Linked DNA regions of Anolis sagrei. The protein of the gene in region 1 interacts with the protein of each later gene in a pairwise test. Links are inferred from orthologs where the notes say so. Each region holds a gene or a part of one and is shown in the gene's direction. Other genes may lie near its edges.

Region 1 (7,888 bases):
ACAAACCTCATGCTCTGTACATAATGTTGCACAGGTTTCGAGCTCGTTTGGACGAATGAATTAACTATAGAAATACCAGCTACTCTTCTAAATCCTCGTTTTCTTTCGGTAACACTTTGAGCGTAATTGTAGCTTGCTTAGATGATGATTATTATTATTATTTTAACGCCTTCCCTGTAGTGCCCCCTTCCCATTTCCTGCAGTGCTTTCTATCATCTCTCCCTTCGCTTTGGATTTTACTTTGGATAAGATTGTACTCTCCATTTGGCTTCTGTTGAAAGTGCAATTTCCCCTTGTAAATACTCACTTTGGTTCTAGTGCATGGTTCTTCTTCTGACGACGACGACGATGTATTGTGAATATATATAAATATTATATATATATATAAAGATTGCCAAACTTAAAAAAAGGTTGTGTCGCTGTTGCCTTTCTAGCAAAGCAGATTGACAAATGCAACTAAATTGGTTGGAAATGATTGATGGATGGATGGAGGGATGGATGTACCGCCGAATTTGGAAAGGAAGGCAAGCCTCAGTGCAACCCCCCCCCCCCATTTTTCTATGTATATATTTAGATTTACATTTTATTTTTGATTACAATGATAGATAAATTGTAGATGTGTAATAATATCTATATTATTATTACTATTTCTATATTTTTATTCATATATCTATTATATCTATCTACTATAATATTATTAATAATAAATATATTATTTGCACTAAAACACAGTATGTCACAGCAAACAAGATCTATATGCTGGATTTTGTATCACAAAATCACAAGTCGAACACTTCCCAAGTGTCTAGGACTGTGTGATGTATTTTTGAAAGATGTCCGCAGATCCAAGTAGGGTGGCCTTTTGCAGGTGACAGATTGTGATTTTGTCAATGTTTATTGTTTCCAAATGCCGGCTGAGATCTTTTGGCATGGTACCCAGTGTGCCGATGACCACTGGGACCACCTATACTGGTTTATGCCAGAGCCTTTGCAGTTCGATTTTGAGTTCGTGATAACGGCTGAGTTTTTCCTGTTGTTTTTCCTCAATGCGGCTGTCACCTGGTATGGCGACATCAATAATCCAGACTTTTTTCTTTTCCACAATCGTGATGTCTTGTGTATTGTGTTCCAAAACTTTGTTAGTCTGGATTTGAAAGTCCCACAGCATATTATTATTATTACTATTATTATATTATATCTTATATCTACTATAATATTAATAATTAGATATATTAGAGATATACAATAAATATAATAATTACTTACTTACTTACTTAGGCGATCCCTCGTTTTCCGAGTATGATGGTCCTCCAATGTTCTTGTGGGTCCGTAAGTGGCTGTGGAGCCCTATTCTTGCTCTGCACCTTCTTCCGCAGTGAGGGCATTGGTTTCCAGGTGGAAGGCGGTCCCGGTCGGGGTTGGCTTGACGCGCCTTCCTCCTGGCACGTTTCTCTCTTTCACCCTCCACTCGTGCCTCCTCGAATTCTGCAGCACTGCTGGTCACAGCCGACCTCCAGCTGGAGCGCTCAAGGGCCAGGGCTTCCCAGTTCTCAGTGTCTATGCCAGAGTTTTTAAGGTTGGCTTTGAGCCCATCTTTAAATCTCTTTTCCTGTCCACCGACATTCCGTTTTCCGTTGATAAGTTCGGAATAGAGCAACTGCTTTGGGAGACGGTGGTCAGGCATCCGGACAACGTGGCCAGCCCAGCGGAGTTGATGTTGGAGGACCATCGCTTCAATGCTGGTGGTCTTTGCTTCTTCCAGCACACTGACGTTTGTCCGCTTGTCTTCCCAGGAGATTTGCAGGATTTTCCGGAGGCAGCGCTGATGGAATCGTTCCAGGAGTTGCATGTGACGTCTGTAGACAGTCCACGTCTCACAGGCGTATAGCAGGGTTGGGAGGACAATAGCTTTATAGACAAGCACCTTGGTCTCCCTACGGATGTCCCGGTCCTCAAACACTCTCTGCTTCATTCGGGAAAATGCTGCACTTGCGGAGCTCAGGCGGTGTTGTATTTCAGCGTCGATGTTGACTTTGGTGGAGAGGTGGCTGCCAAGGTAGCGGAAATGGTCAACATTTTCTAATGTTACACCATTAAGCTGTATCTCTGGCATTGGGGAGGAGTTGGCTGGTGACTGCTGGAAGAGCACCTTGGTTTTCTCAATGTTCAGTGACAGGCCAAGCTTCGTGTATGCTTCTGCGAAGGTGTTTAGAGTGGCTTGTAGATCTTCTTCTGTATGCGCACAGACGACATTGTCATCAGCATACTGGAGTTCTATAACAGATGTTGTTGTAACTTTGGTTTTGGCTTTCAGTCTGCTGAGGTTAAACAGCTTGCCATCTGTCCGATAGATGATTTCCACTCCGGTGGGAAGCTTCCCATCAACAAGGTGAAGTATCATTGCGATGAAGATGGAGAATAGAGTTGGGGCAATAACACATCCCTGTTTGACACCCGATTCCACCTTAAATGGGTCACTTTGGGAGCCATTGCTGTCCAAGACTGTTGCCATCATGTCATCGTGGAGGAGCCGCAGGATGTTCACAAATTTGTTAGGGCATCCGATTTTGTGGAGGATGGTCCAGAGAGCGCTGCGATTCACTGTGTCGAATGCCTTGGCAAGGTCGATGAATGCCATGTACAGAGGTTGGTTTTGTTCCCTGCATTTTTCTTGGAGCTGTCGTGCAGTGAAGATCATGTCCACGGTTCCTCTGGAGGGGCGGAAGCCGTTCTGGGATTCTGGGAGGGTGTCTTCTGAGAGGGGCAGGAGGCGGTTTGCAAGGATTCTTGCGAGGATTTTCCCAGCGGAGGTTAGAAGGGAGATACCTCGATAGTTTCCGCAGTCTGTTCTTTCCCCTTTTTTGAAGAGGGTGATGATGGTGGCATCCTTGAAGTCTGCTGGGATTTTCTCGGTCACCCACACTTTTTCTATGAGCTGGTGGAGTTGGTGTGTCAGCTCAGGTCCTCCCTCTTTGAAGATTTCAGCAGGGATCCCATCCGGTCCGCTGGCTTTGTTATTCTTCTGCTGGCTGATGGCATTGCTGACTTCTTCCAAACTAGGCGGTGCTGCAAGCTCATCCCTGGTTTGTTGTTGCGGGATTTGTGAGAGGACCTCTTCGGCCACATTGGAGCTGCGGTTCAGGAGGCTTTGGTAGTGTTCTTTCCAACGTAGTGCAATTGAGTTTTGGTCCTTCAGGAGTTTGGTTCCATCTGATGAGCGTAGAGGCTGTATGCCATGGTTTCTTGGTCCGTAGATGACCTTTGTGGCTTTGAAAAATCCTTGAGCATTATGGGTATCTGCCAGGTGTTGGATTTCTTCAGCCTTCTTTGTCCACCAGATGTTCTTGAGTTCTCTTGTCCTTCTTTGGACCTCGGCTTTTGCACTAGCGTAGATCTTTTTCTTAGCAGCACAGTTGATGTTTCTCTGCCATGTTTGGAAGGCTTTCCTTTTCTTGTCAATTAGCTGTTGGATCTCGATGTCATTTTCATCAAACCAGTCTTGATGTTTCTTGGCTTGGTATCCAATAGTTTCTTCGCAGGCTTGGATGATGGAGGTCTTCAGTTTGTTCCAATGTTCCTCAACATTTTCGGGGTGTTCTGTGGGTAGATGGTTCTTGAGTGCTGTTTGGAGATGGGCTCGTCTGGAGGGCTCCTGAAGGGCTTGGGTGTTCATTTTGCGCCTTGTCTTTCTGCCTTGGAGTCTGCGCTTGGGAGCGATCTTGATGGCCATCGAGGATCGGATTAGCCTGTATAATTGATATAATAATCGATACTTATATTAAATATAATAATATATAATAAAATTATAGTAGATATATATATATAAAAGTAGTAATAATAAATATAAAATCATACAAGATATAATACATCTACATATGATTTATCATAATCACAAATTAAATGTAAATATAAATAAGAAGGCAAATAATAAAATAATTCACATTCTTACATCCTTATTTATTTTTATATTATTATCTTTACATTTTATTTATCATAATAAATGAAATGTAAATAATATATAAAGATGTAAACAATAATTTATTACATTAATATTACATTTACATTTGATTTATGATTAACATAATTTATATTTAATTTATATTTTATCATTTACATTGTTTACGTTTTATTATTTACATTTGATTAAATTATTATCGTTATTATGCTATAATTATTATTTACATTATATTTATTATTTATATTACTATATGACGTATATTTTATTTATTATTTATATGCCACTGAAAATCATACGGAGCGACAGCAAAGGGGCGGGGCTTTCCGTTTGGCCACACCCCGTCGCGACTCTTTTCCCCCCCCTTTTCGGTCAGAAGCTTCTGATTGGCTGGTACATGGCGACGACGGCGGTTGTTTCGGCTCTCCGATACTGCGCATGCGCAGAAACTCAGTTCTCTCAGAAAAAAAGAGGCGGTGCTTCTCTTTTTTGGGAGCAGATCATTGGCTCACGCCATTGCCAGCCACTCTGTCGTGGGATGTGATTGGGCGAGGCGATGGGAAGGGGGAAGGGCCTGCTCTGCCAGTCAGGTGAGGACGTTTGCTGACAGAAGCGGCCGCGGTGGCGGCGGAGGAGGCTTGCTACTTCTTCTTTCGAGCCCGGCGGAGGGATGCGGCGGAACGGGCCTCGACGCTAAGGCGGAGGAGGAAGGAAGGAGGAGGGCAGGCAAGGCGGGGCTGCGGTGGAAGGGGCAGGGCGCAGGGACCACAGGGGGCGGGGCTTGAAGTTTGAATGACAGGGCCTTCAGGAAGAGGGGGCGGGGCTTCAGGAAGAGAAGGAGACCTTCCCCAAGGCCTTCGTGAACCATTATTACGTGTATCTTCTCTCTCTCTCTCTCTCTCTCTCTATATATATATATATATACACACATTCATACATACATATATATATAAATGTAATGTTCGTTTGTGGGATTAACATAACTCTAAAACCACTGGACGAATTGACACCAAATTTGGCAGCAAATCATATACTAATCCAATCTACGTCTTTCAATAAAAAAACTTGGAAAATGAAGGGGAAATAACTTTAAACTCCCCCAAAAGAAAAATACCTTACAGAACATGCGCAAAAGCCCCCCTCCCCAGCGCGCGAGGAGAATGATGCACCAACTGTTGTGAGGGAAGAGAAGCCTCGCCGTGGAGTCCCTTTCCATGCACGAAGGCAGAGCCCTCTTTCTTTTGGGGAGGGGAGGGATTGAGGAAAGGAAAGAGGGAGGGAGGGAGGGAGGGAAGGAAGGAAGGAAGGAAGGAAGGAGAGAGAGGGCCTGGCCTGACGGAGGGTGTGGAGGCAAGCCCCGGCAGCAGCAGCTAAGTGGCTACCAGGCAACTCTCCTCCCAAGACCGGAGGACTGCAAGGCAAGCCTGGCTGCAGGAGCGGCTGCCCCCCCCCCCTCCGGGACCAGTTGGGTGATGGGAGTATGCGAACCATGGGAAGACCAGCAACGCCCCCACCTGGGCTCCACATCCCCCTTTTACTCCCCCCCCCAAAAAAAACCCCTTACAAACTGCCCCAGAAGGAAGAAAGGGAAAGAAGAAAGGAAGAAAAGGATTGGTGAAGAGAAGAGAAGAATATGAATGGAAGGAAAGGTAGAAGGAAAGTGAGAGGAAGGAAGAGAAAGGAGAGAAAAAGGAAGAAAGAAAGAAAGGGGGAGACTGGTGAAGGGGACAGAAGAATATGATGGGAAGGAAAAAGGAAAGGAAAGGATGAAGGAAGGAAAGGAAAGAAATGGAAAGGAGGGAAGAAGAGAAGAATATGAATGGAAGGAAAAGAAGGAAAACCAGAGGAAGGGAGGGAAGGAGGCAGGGATGGAAGAGGAACGGAAGGAACAAAGAAAGAAAGGGGGAAACTGGTGAAGGGAAGAGAAGAATATAGAATCAGGTGGGCTATCCAGGCCAGCCCCATTCAGTCAAAAGGCAGGAAAATCACATTCAAAGCACCCCTGACAGATGGCCACCCAGCCTCTGTTTCCAAGAGGCTTTTTGGAGTGTTTTGGCCAGCATGAATATCACGTGCAGCTTCAAACCCTGGCAGCTTCTCATTGCTTTATTTTCCATACCACCAGATTACCCCAAGATTCTATTATTATGATTATCATTATTAAGGAGAGTCTAAATGGCCATCTATCAAGGGTGTTTTGATTGTGTTTTTCCCTTATGCAGAGGGAGGTCTCCCTACCCTAGGATTCTATTATTATTATTATTATTATTATCATCATCATTTTAAGCAGAGTCTCCATGGCCATCTGTTAGAGGAGTGCTTGGATTGTGTTTTTCGCTTATGGCAGAGGGAGGCTGGACTGGATGGCCCTTGGAGGTCTCCCTACCCTAAGGTAAAGGTAAAGGTAGTCCCCTGACATTAAGTCCAGTCATGTCTGACTCTGGGGTGTGGTGCTCATCTCCATTTCTAAGCCGAAGAGCCAGCGTTGTCCGTAGACACCTCCAAGCTCATGTGGCCGGCATGACTGCATGGAGCGCCGTTACCTTCCCGCCGGAGCGGTACCTATTGATCTACTCACATTTGCATGTTTTCGAACTGCTAGGTTGGCAGAACCTAGGGCTGACAGTGGAAGCTCACGCCGCTCCCCGGAATCGAACCTGCGACCTTTCGATCAACAAGCTCAGCAGCTCAGTGCTTTAACCCACTGAGCCACCGGGGGCTCCAACCCCAGGATTCTATTATTATTATTATTATTATTATTATTCTTAAGCAGAGTCTCCATGGCCATCTGTTAGAGGAGTGCTTGGATTGTGTTTTTCCCTTATGGCAGAGGGAGGCTGGACTGGATGGCCCTTGGAGGTCTACTGCAACACTAGGATCCTATTACTGTGAATTCCTCCCAAACCCCTCCAGTATTTTCTGCTGGTCATGGAGGTTCTGTGTGCCAAATGTGGTTCAGATCTCTCATTCATGGGGGTCTCAGTGGTCTGTGGAAATCAGAGCTGAATCAGTTGAAGGTACTCAAAATCCCACCATCTGTTGTTCATACTCCCCCAAAGATATTGTTTTTGTCATTAATTAGTATGCTTTAATTATGTTCAATTTATAACAACAGAAATACATCTTGCATATCAGATATTTACATTACTATTCAGAACAGTAGCAAAATTACAGTTAGGAAGTAGCAACGAAAATAGTATTATGGTTGGGGGTTACCACAACATGAGGTATTGTATTACGGGGTCATGGCATTAAAAAAGTTTAGAACCACTGCTAAAGACATTCTATAAAAATAAAAATATACTGTCCATTTATGGGGACCTCCTATCTCCCAAACCTAGAGAGAATACAATTCGCTTCTGGAGTGAGACAATACGCCATCTCCAAGGATGTTCCCCATGCATCAAACAGATGTTTTCCCATTCTGTGAGAGGCTTCTATTTATAGATATGTAAAATGTTCAGGGTGGGAAAAAGAAATTATTTCTACTTGAGCCAAGTGTGAATGCTGCAGTTGCCCACCTGGATTACCTTTGAATAACCTTGCAACTTAAAAGCCTGGCTTCTACCTTTGGTGGGAGGAGTTCCCTAGCCCAGATTGTTTCATGTCTGCAAATCCTGTTTTCTGAGGGCCACACCAATGAGTGGCCGGGTACAGCTAGTATTATATATTATATCATTATGTACATATAATAATAATATGATGATGGTGATAATGACCCCTCTTGAACTGCTTTGAGCTCACATTGTTATTATTCCCATTTTCCATTATATTTTTTTGCAATATTATATTATCTTATCATTTTATATTATTGTTGTTATATGATGATTATATGATATGATGTATTTTGTTCTCAAGATTTATTATTATCTCATTAGATGATGATGATCCCCCTTTGAACTGCTTTGCCCATAACTGGATTCTCTCTCAATC
Region 2 (8,121 bases), on another chromosome or scaffold:
CTTTGATGTTGCCATTTCGAAGCTAATTCTCACCTAAACCTTTTTTTCCCTGGCATACATAATTCTGAAAATAGGGCCTGGCCTAGTTTCTAATAAGGTTGGCCCCTTGGAAAGCAAACTTATCTTAGAACCATCTTGCATTTGGGTTAAAGATCAGAATGAGATGTAGGTGTTAGATCTGTGGCTTGGATCTAGAATCAAATGAATTCTTTTTGTTCTAAAACTTTTGCAAGTTTGGAAGAACAGTTCACCTTTTGGATGTTGATTAGGGACACTTACTCCTATTACTAACTTTCTAAACGATAGCAGTTTTAGCCCTTTGGATGCCCTGAAAAGTTTTGCCCTGCTTTTTGCATTTTAAGCTGTGTGTGGGAGGAAGTCAGATGGCTGAGTGACCTATGGTTTAACTTTGGAAAGGCAAGAACAGTGAGAAAAGCCACGGAGGAGGAGGAGGAGTTGTGTGTGGAGGAGGGCAATGAGCCAAGTGCTTTGGCGGAGCTGGTTTTGTCAGATACGTTCTTCTTAGGTGACATTTAACATCACTGGCGGATTATGAAGTGCTCAAAGAGGCTTCCAAAGTATACTCTTACTACCATTGTACAATTAGATTGTGCAAGTATTTAAAAATAAAACATGTCATGTTCCCTACTACCTTCAACCTCTGGCCTGTGTTTGTCTTTGGAGCCTAAGGATGGTTTGAACCCACTGTGAAATAGTGGAAGGATTTGTCTTTTTGTTTTGTAATTCTACATATATTGCAATGTGCATTGGGGATGGTTTTTAATTTCGTTGTACGATGTACAATGATAATAAAGTTACTCTAATCTATATTGCAGCACACACTGACCAGGTTCTGCAGTAGGTTAGGCAAAGAGCCCACAGCACAGCCAATCTGAGACTGGATCTATACTGCTATATACAATCCAGATTATCTGCTTTGAAGTGGTTTATATGGCAGTATAAGTAAAGCTTTCCCCGACATTAAGCCATTCTAGCCATTCTGGGGGTGGTGGTGCTCATCTCCAGTTCTAAGCCGAAGAGCCGTCGTTGTCCGTAGACACCTCCAAGGTCATGCGGTTGGCATGACTGCCTAAAGCGTTGTTACCTTCCCACAGAAGCGGTACCGATTGATCTACTCATATTTGCATGCTTTCAAAGTGCTAGGTTGGCAGAAGCTGCACCTAACAGCAGGAGCTCCCCCCTCTCCTCAGATTTGAACTGTCGACCTTTCCATCAGCAAGTTCAGAAACTCGGTGGTTTAACCCGCTGCACCACTATATGCCAGTACAGACTCATATAATCCAGTTCAAAGCAGATAATCTGGATTATCCGCTTTGATAATCTGGATTATATGGCAGTGTAGAAGGGGCCACAAATTCATTACTCTGGAGCCTTGACCCCATTTAAAACCAGTGCAAAGTCCTCATTCTGCTGACTTTGCTGGCCTATATTAGGTGAGTCATGCTCAGGAAGGCTCCTGCTGTGATAACATCATGGAGGAAGACAAGTTGGGGGTTTTCTCAATGCGCAGGAACGCACTGCGACGTGGTGCAAGCCACGCAGGTTTGTGCAGGTTATTTCCAGGATGTGGTTGAGATGGTGTCCTCATTTCTTAGAAGGCGGTCTTTTTTTCTTTCTGACCCCCACATCTGCGGCATACCCAGGAATATACCAGGGAGGAGGGAGCGCTTTTGAGTGTGCAAAGGGCCTGATGCATCACCAGTTTGCAGGAAAACCTGTGTCAGCTCCACTGGCTGCCGATCCACTTCTGAACTCAATTCAAAGTGCTGGTTTTGACCTATAAAGCTCTATATGGTTCTGGCCCAGTTTACTTGTCCGAATGCATCTCCCTCTACGTCCCGCCTTGCAGTTTAAGATCATCCGGGGAGACCCTGCTCTTGCTCTCGCCAGCGTTGCAAATACGTCTGGTGGGGATGGCAGACAGGGCCTTCTCAGCTGTAGGTGCTTTGGACTTCAACTTCCATCATTCCTAACAGCCTCAGGTCCTTTCCTTTCCCCCCTCAGCCAGTGGAACTCGCTTCCCACCGAGGTAAGATCAGCTTCATTCCTCTTGTCTTTTAAGAAATTGAAGTTGTGGTTCTGGGACCAGGCTTTTGGACAGCAGGCATATCTAGCGCTTTGAATATGGAATTTGACTGGAATGGTGATACGGCGGTTAACTCCATCAACTCCACTGGACCGGCCACGTTGTCCAGATTCTCACAATTTCCACTCCCTTGACATCCACCTCTCCACAAAAGTCAACATTGATACTGAAATACAACACCACCTGAGCTCTGTGAGTGCAGCATTTTTCCAAATGAAGCAGAGATTTAATGTATTGTCGAAGGCTTTCATGGCCGGAATCACTGGGTTGTTGTAGGGTTTTTTGGGCTATATGGCCATGGTCTAGAGGCATTCTCTCCTGACATTTCGCCTGCATCTATGGCAAGCATCCTCAGAGGTAGTAAGGTTGTTTGAGCACCGGGACATCCGTAGGGAGACCAAAGTTTATAAAGCTATTGTCCTCCCAACCCTGCTATACGCCTGTGAAACGTGGACTGTCTACAGATGTCACATGCAACTCCTGGAACGATTCCATCAGCGCTGCCTCCAGAAAATCCTGCAAACCTCTTGGGAAGACAAGCGGACAAACGTCAGTGTGCTGGAAGAAGCAAAGACCACCAGCATTGAAGCGACGCTCCTTCGCCATCAACTCCACTGGACCGACCACGTTGTCCGGATGCCTGACCACCTTCTCCCAAAGCAGTTGCTCTACTCCGAACTCAAGAACGGAAAATGGAATGTTTGTGGGCAGGAAAAGAAATTTAAAGATGGGCTCAAAGCCAACCTTAAAAACTTTGGCATAGACACTGAGAACTGGGAAGCCCTGTCTCTTGAGCGCTCCTGCTGGAGGTCAGCTGTGACCAGCAGTGCTGTAGAATTTGAAGATGGAGGGCGAAAGAGGGCGAAAGAGAGAAACATGCCAAGAGGAAGGCATGTCAAGCCAACCCCGTCCGAGACCGCCTTCCACCTGGAAACCAATGCCCTCACTGCGGGAGAAGCTGCAGATCAAGAATAGGGCTCCACAGTCACCTATGAACCCACCGCCAGGACACTACACTTGGAGGACCATCATCCTCGGACTACGAGGGATCGCCTAAGAAGAAGAAGAAGACGGCGGTTAATACTGTTACTATTGTTTTAATTAATGATCTATTTATTGTTTTATTTGTTGTTATATTGGGTTGTTGTAGGTTTTTCCAGGCTATATGGCCATGTTCTGGAGGCAATTTTTCTCCTGACGTTTAGCCTGCATCTATGGCAAGCATCCTCAGAGGTAGTGAGGTCTGTTGGAAGTAGGAAAAATGGGTTTATATACCTGTGGAATGACCAGGGTAATGTTTTAGCTGATGTTTAGCTAATGTTATATTGTTTTGTTATATTTCACGGCATCAAATCGTGCCAAGTGTAAGCTGTCCTGAGTCCCCCTTCGGGGGTTGAGAACAACGGTGTAGAAATACTGGAAATAATAAATAAAACCCCCGAAGAGAGGAAGGCCTTCTTGCCTGTGGAACCACCCTCCACTATTTTTTATTTATCGTGTCATCATCAACCATACCATTATATTACAATTCTAACAGAGCAAAACAAACACACAGATTAAAAAGAAAAAGAAAAAAACCCCACAGATTTTGCAATTTTGGTAGTTGGTTAAATGTCCTTTGACCAGTATCTGGCCACTTGGAGTGCCTCTGGGGTTGCCGCAAGAAGGTCTTCCATTGTGCATGTTGCAGGGCTCAGGGTGCATTGCAGCAGGTGGTCAGTGGTTTGTTCTTCTCCACACTCGCATGCCGAGGATTCCACCCTGTAGTCCCATTTCTTGAGATTGGCTCTGCATCTCGTGGTGCCAGAGCGCAGTCTGTTCAGTGCTTTCCAAGTCGCCCAGTCTTCTGTGTGCCCAGGGGAGAGTCTCTCATCTGGTATCACCCATGGATTGAGGTACTGGGTTTGGACCTGCCACCTTTGGACTCTCGCTTGCTGGGGTGTTCCAGTGATTGTCTCTGTAGATCTAAGAAAATTATGTCTTGATTTAAGTCGTTGACGTGCTGGCTGATACCTAAACAGGGGATGAGCTGGAGATGTCTCTGCCTTGGTCCTTTCACTATTGGCTGCTACTTCCTGGCGGATGTCAGGTGGTGCAATACCGGCTAAGCAGTGTAAATTACACCACCCTCCACTGGAAGCTTTCAACCCTCCTTAAAGGTGCCAGTTTCAAGGGGCAGGTCTTGCTGCAGGACAGGAAGTCCCTCTTTGCCCCTAACCCACCTTGGAATGGCCTTTGCAAGACCCCCTTGACCCTGAGACTTGATATGAGGCTAGAATAGGCCTGAACCAACTTGAGCCCTCCTTCCAGGTGCTTTGGACTTCAACTCCCATCGTTCCTAACAGCCTCAGGCCCTTTCCTTTTCCCCCTCAGCCGCTTAAGCGGCTGAGTGGGAAAAGGAAGGGGCCTGAGGCTGTTAGGAATGATGGGAGTTGAAGTCCAAAGCACCTAGAGGGAGGGCCCGAGTTGGCTCAGGCCTGGTCTACACTGTCTATACAGGAGCAGCTGTGGGAAGGGGCGGGACTTCCTTCAAGAGACCCTGCCTGGAATCAGGAGCCGGAAGCCCCGCCCCTCGTGACGTCATCCGGGGGCGCCTCCGTCCACTCCTGGCAGGGCATCCCGATGATGATGACGACGATGACGCTGATCCGCCGCCGCCGCCCATAAAGGGCCCGCGGGTCGGCGGAGCAGGCACCCGCCGCAGGGAGGAGGCTGAGGCAGGGAAGGCGGAGGCAGCGGGGAAGGGAGCAGCAGCAGGAGCAGTGGGGCGCCCAATCCCGGAAGGCGGAAGGTGAGGGTCGCCAGGAAGGCCTTCTTCTTCCTCCTCAGGCAGGCCTTTTCCTGGAAAACACCCGGAAGGAAGACAGGAAGGCTTCCTCTCCTCTCAAAGCAGGCCTGAGGCTGGGCCTGGATTCTACGGAGCACAAAGTTATTATTATTATTATTATTATTATTATTATTATTAGAAACACAACAAGATGAGTCCACAGCAGACACTCTGCTGCCTGTTGTATTGGATATTATTATTGTTATTATTATTATTATTATTGGGCCGCAGTCGGAACCTGGCTGAAAGAGAGAAGAGGAGGCTCCTTATTATTATTATTATTAATTAGTAATTACTATCATTATTATTGGGCCGCAGTCGGAGCCTGGCTGAGAAAGAGGAGGGGGATTATTATTATTATTAGTAGTAATTGCTATTATTATTATTGGGTTGTAATCAGAGCCTGGCTGAGAGAAAGGAGGGAGCTCGTTGTTGTTGTTGTTGTTATTATTAATTATGACTATTATTTCACTGTAGTCAGAGCCTGCCTGAGAAACAGAGGAGGGGGCTCCTTATTCATTATTATTATTATTATTATTATTGTACTGTAGTTGGAGCCTGGCTGAGAGAGAGAAGAGGAGGCTACTTATTATTAGTAGTATTAGTAATTGCTATTATTATTATTGGGCCGTAGTCAGAGCCTCACTGAGATAAAGGAGGAGGCTCCTTGTTGTTATTATTATTAACTATTACTATTATTTCACTTCAGTCAGAGCCTGGTTGAGAAACAGAGGAGGAAGCTCCTTATTCTTTATTATTATTATTATTGCACTGCAGTTAGATCCTGGTTGATAGAGAAGGGAGATCCTTTTTTTAAATAATAATAATTACTATTATTATTGCATCGCAGTCAGAGCCTAGCTAAGAGAGAGAGGAGGGGGCTCATTATTTATTTATTTATTACTATTATTATTACATTGCAGTCAGAGCCTAGCTGAGAGAGAGAGGAGGGGGCTCCTTATTATTATTTATTAATTACTATTATTATTGCATCACAGTCAGAGCCTAAGAGAGAGAGAGAGAAGTGGGCTCCTTATTATTATTATTATTATTATTATTTACTATTATTATTGCATCGCAGTCAGAGCCTAGCTGAGAGAGAGAGGAGGGGGCTCCTTATTATTATTATTATTATTATTTATTAATTACTATTCTTATTGCATCGCAGTCAGAGCCTAGCTGAGAGAGAGAGGAGTGGGCTCCTTATTATTATTATTATTATTTATTACTATTCTTATTGCATCACAGTCAGAGCCTAGCTGAGAGAGAGAAAAGGGGGATCCTTATTATTATTATTATTATTATTATTTATTACTATTATTATTGCATTGCAGTCAGAGCCTAGCTGAGAGAGAGAGAGGAGGGGGCTCATTATTGCTATTAATTATTATGGTGCTGCAGTCAGAGCCTGGCTGAGAGAGGAGGGGACTTGTTGTTGTTGTTATTGTTGTTGTTGTTACTATTATTATTAATTACTTTCATTATTGTGCTGAATTTGGAGTCTGTCTGAGAGAGAGGAGGGGCTTATTAATTATTATTACTGATTACTATTATTATTGCACCACAGTTGGAGCTTGACTGAGAGAGGAGGGGGCTATTTGTTATTATTATTTATTATTATTATTAATTATTATTATTATTATTATTATTATTATTATTGGGCTCCAGTTGGAACTTGGCTGTGAGAGAGGAGAGGGCTCATTTTTATTAATTATTATTAATTACTATAATTACTATTATTATTTCACCGCCGCCAAAACCTGGCTGAGAGAGAAAGGAGAGGGCTTATTATTATTATTATTGATTACTATTATTATTGTGCCACAGTTGGAGCCTGAGAGAGAGAGGAGTGGGCTTGTTATTGACATTAATTATTATTATTGCACTTGGGTTGAAGCCTGGCTGAGAGAGGTGGGAGGGGGGCTCCAGCCTCAATGAGCCCCCTCCCCGCCCCTTGTTCTGCCAGGAGAAAGGCAGGAGGCAGGAAGGGACTATGGGTGCTGCAGGGTCAGTGGAGGGGAGACCAAAGAGGAGGGGCTCCTGTCTCTTGACCTTTCCTGATTCCCCCCTTCCCAGGCTCTTTTTTTTTTTCACCACCAAGAAGGATGATGCAAAAGTGGATATGCAAATATTTGTTGACATCCCACAGGCAGACAGTCTGTGCCCTCTTTCCATGGAAGTTCCCAGAGTGCTTCAGGGCTGTGCAAATAAAGGGAGGCAAATGTCCCCTTGTGTGTCCTTGTGTGGCTGCCGTGAAAGGGGGGGGGGGAGGGGGGGCCAGTGGAGCTTTCACTCTCCCAGAGTAGGGCTACCTTTCTGCTGCCTTGAAGTCTAGGACTTAGAACAGTGGGTTCAAATGGCAAGAAAGAAGATTCCATCCGAATTTTAGGAAGAACTTCCTGACTGTAAGAAAAGATGTTCAACTGTGGAACTTTCTTGCCCCAGAGTCTGGTAGAAGCTCCTTCTTTGGAGGTTTTGGAACACAGGCTGGATGGCCATCTGTCAGGGGTGCTTTGATTGTGCTTTTCTTGCATGAAGGCAGAAGGGGGTTGGACTGGATGCCTTTGGGGGTCCCTTTTGAGACTGAGACTAGAGCGACATTGGTGAAGAAATTGAAGTGAATCTCACAAAGCATGGGCTAGAGCAGTGGTTCTCAACCTGCGGTCCCCAGATGTTTTTGGCCTTCAACTCCCAGAAATCCTAACAGCTGGAAAACTGGCCGGGATTTCTGGGAGTTGTAGGCCAAAACACCTGGGGACCCACAGGTTGAGAACCACTGCCGCTAAAGCATATTTGAAAGCCTACTCTACGGCAATGGAGGCAGCAGAGAAATCATTCTTTGCTGCCATCATTGCATCTGTAAGTAACTGTCCAGCTGAGCTGTTTCGAGTGGTTGGGGGCTATTACATACTGGTCATTAAGAAGAAATCCCTAACCATTCATCAGCCCACTGAGAAGAATTTGCAAGCCTCTTTGCAGATAAAGTCACTCAGATTTGTTCTGACTTGGATTCTGTTATTGATACAGTTCCAATGGATGTAAATCTGGCTCTTGCTTGTCCAGTGTTGCTGGATACCTTTCAATTTGTGCAGCCTGGGGATGTGGACAGCATCCTTGGAAAGGGGAGAGCTACCACATGTATTCTAGATCCTTGCCCTTCCTGGTTGATCAAACGGGACAGAGGGAG

Evidence for each region.
Region 2: the proteins of MARCHF2 (region 1) and FURIN interact in a protein complementation assay, tested with the Homo sapiens proteins (2 studies listed by BioGRID). The link is inferred for Anolis sagrei from reciprocal best matches to the Homo sapiens genes MARCHF2 and FURIN.

Annotation. Positions count from the first base shown.
Region 1 is NC_090034.1:29,300,704-29,308,591, reverse strand, and holds the start of MARCHF2 (E3 ubiquitin-protein ligase MARCHF2), read left to right. Parts: upstream 1-4,440; 5' UTR 4,441-4,545; exon of another isoform or gene 4,546-4,681; intron 4,682-5,580; exon of another isoform or gene 5,581-5,604; intron 5,605-7,888. UniProt on the Homo sapiens protein: E3 ubiquitin-protein ligase that may mediate ubiquitination of TFRC and CD86, and promote their subsequent endocytosis and sorting to lysosomes via multivesicular bodies.
Region 2 is NC_090029.1:22,580,580-22,588,700, forward strand, and holds the start of FURIN (furin), read left to right. Parts: upstream 1-4,716; 5' UTR 4,717-4,898; intron 4,899-4,949; exon of another isoform or gene 4,950-5,035; intron 5,036-7,220; exon of another isoform or gene 7,221-7,339; intron 7,340-8,121. UniProt on the Homo sapiens protein: Ubiquitous endoprotease within constitutive secretory pathways capable of cleavage at the RX(K/R)R consensus motif. Mediates processing of TGFB1, an essential step in TGF-beta-1 activation.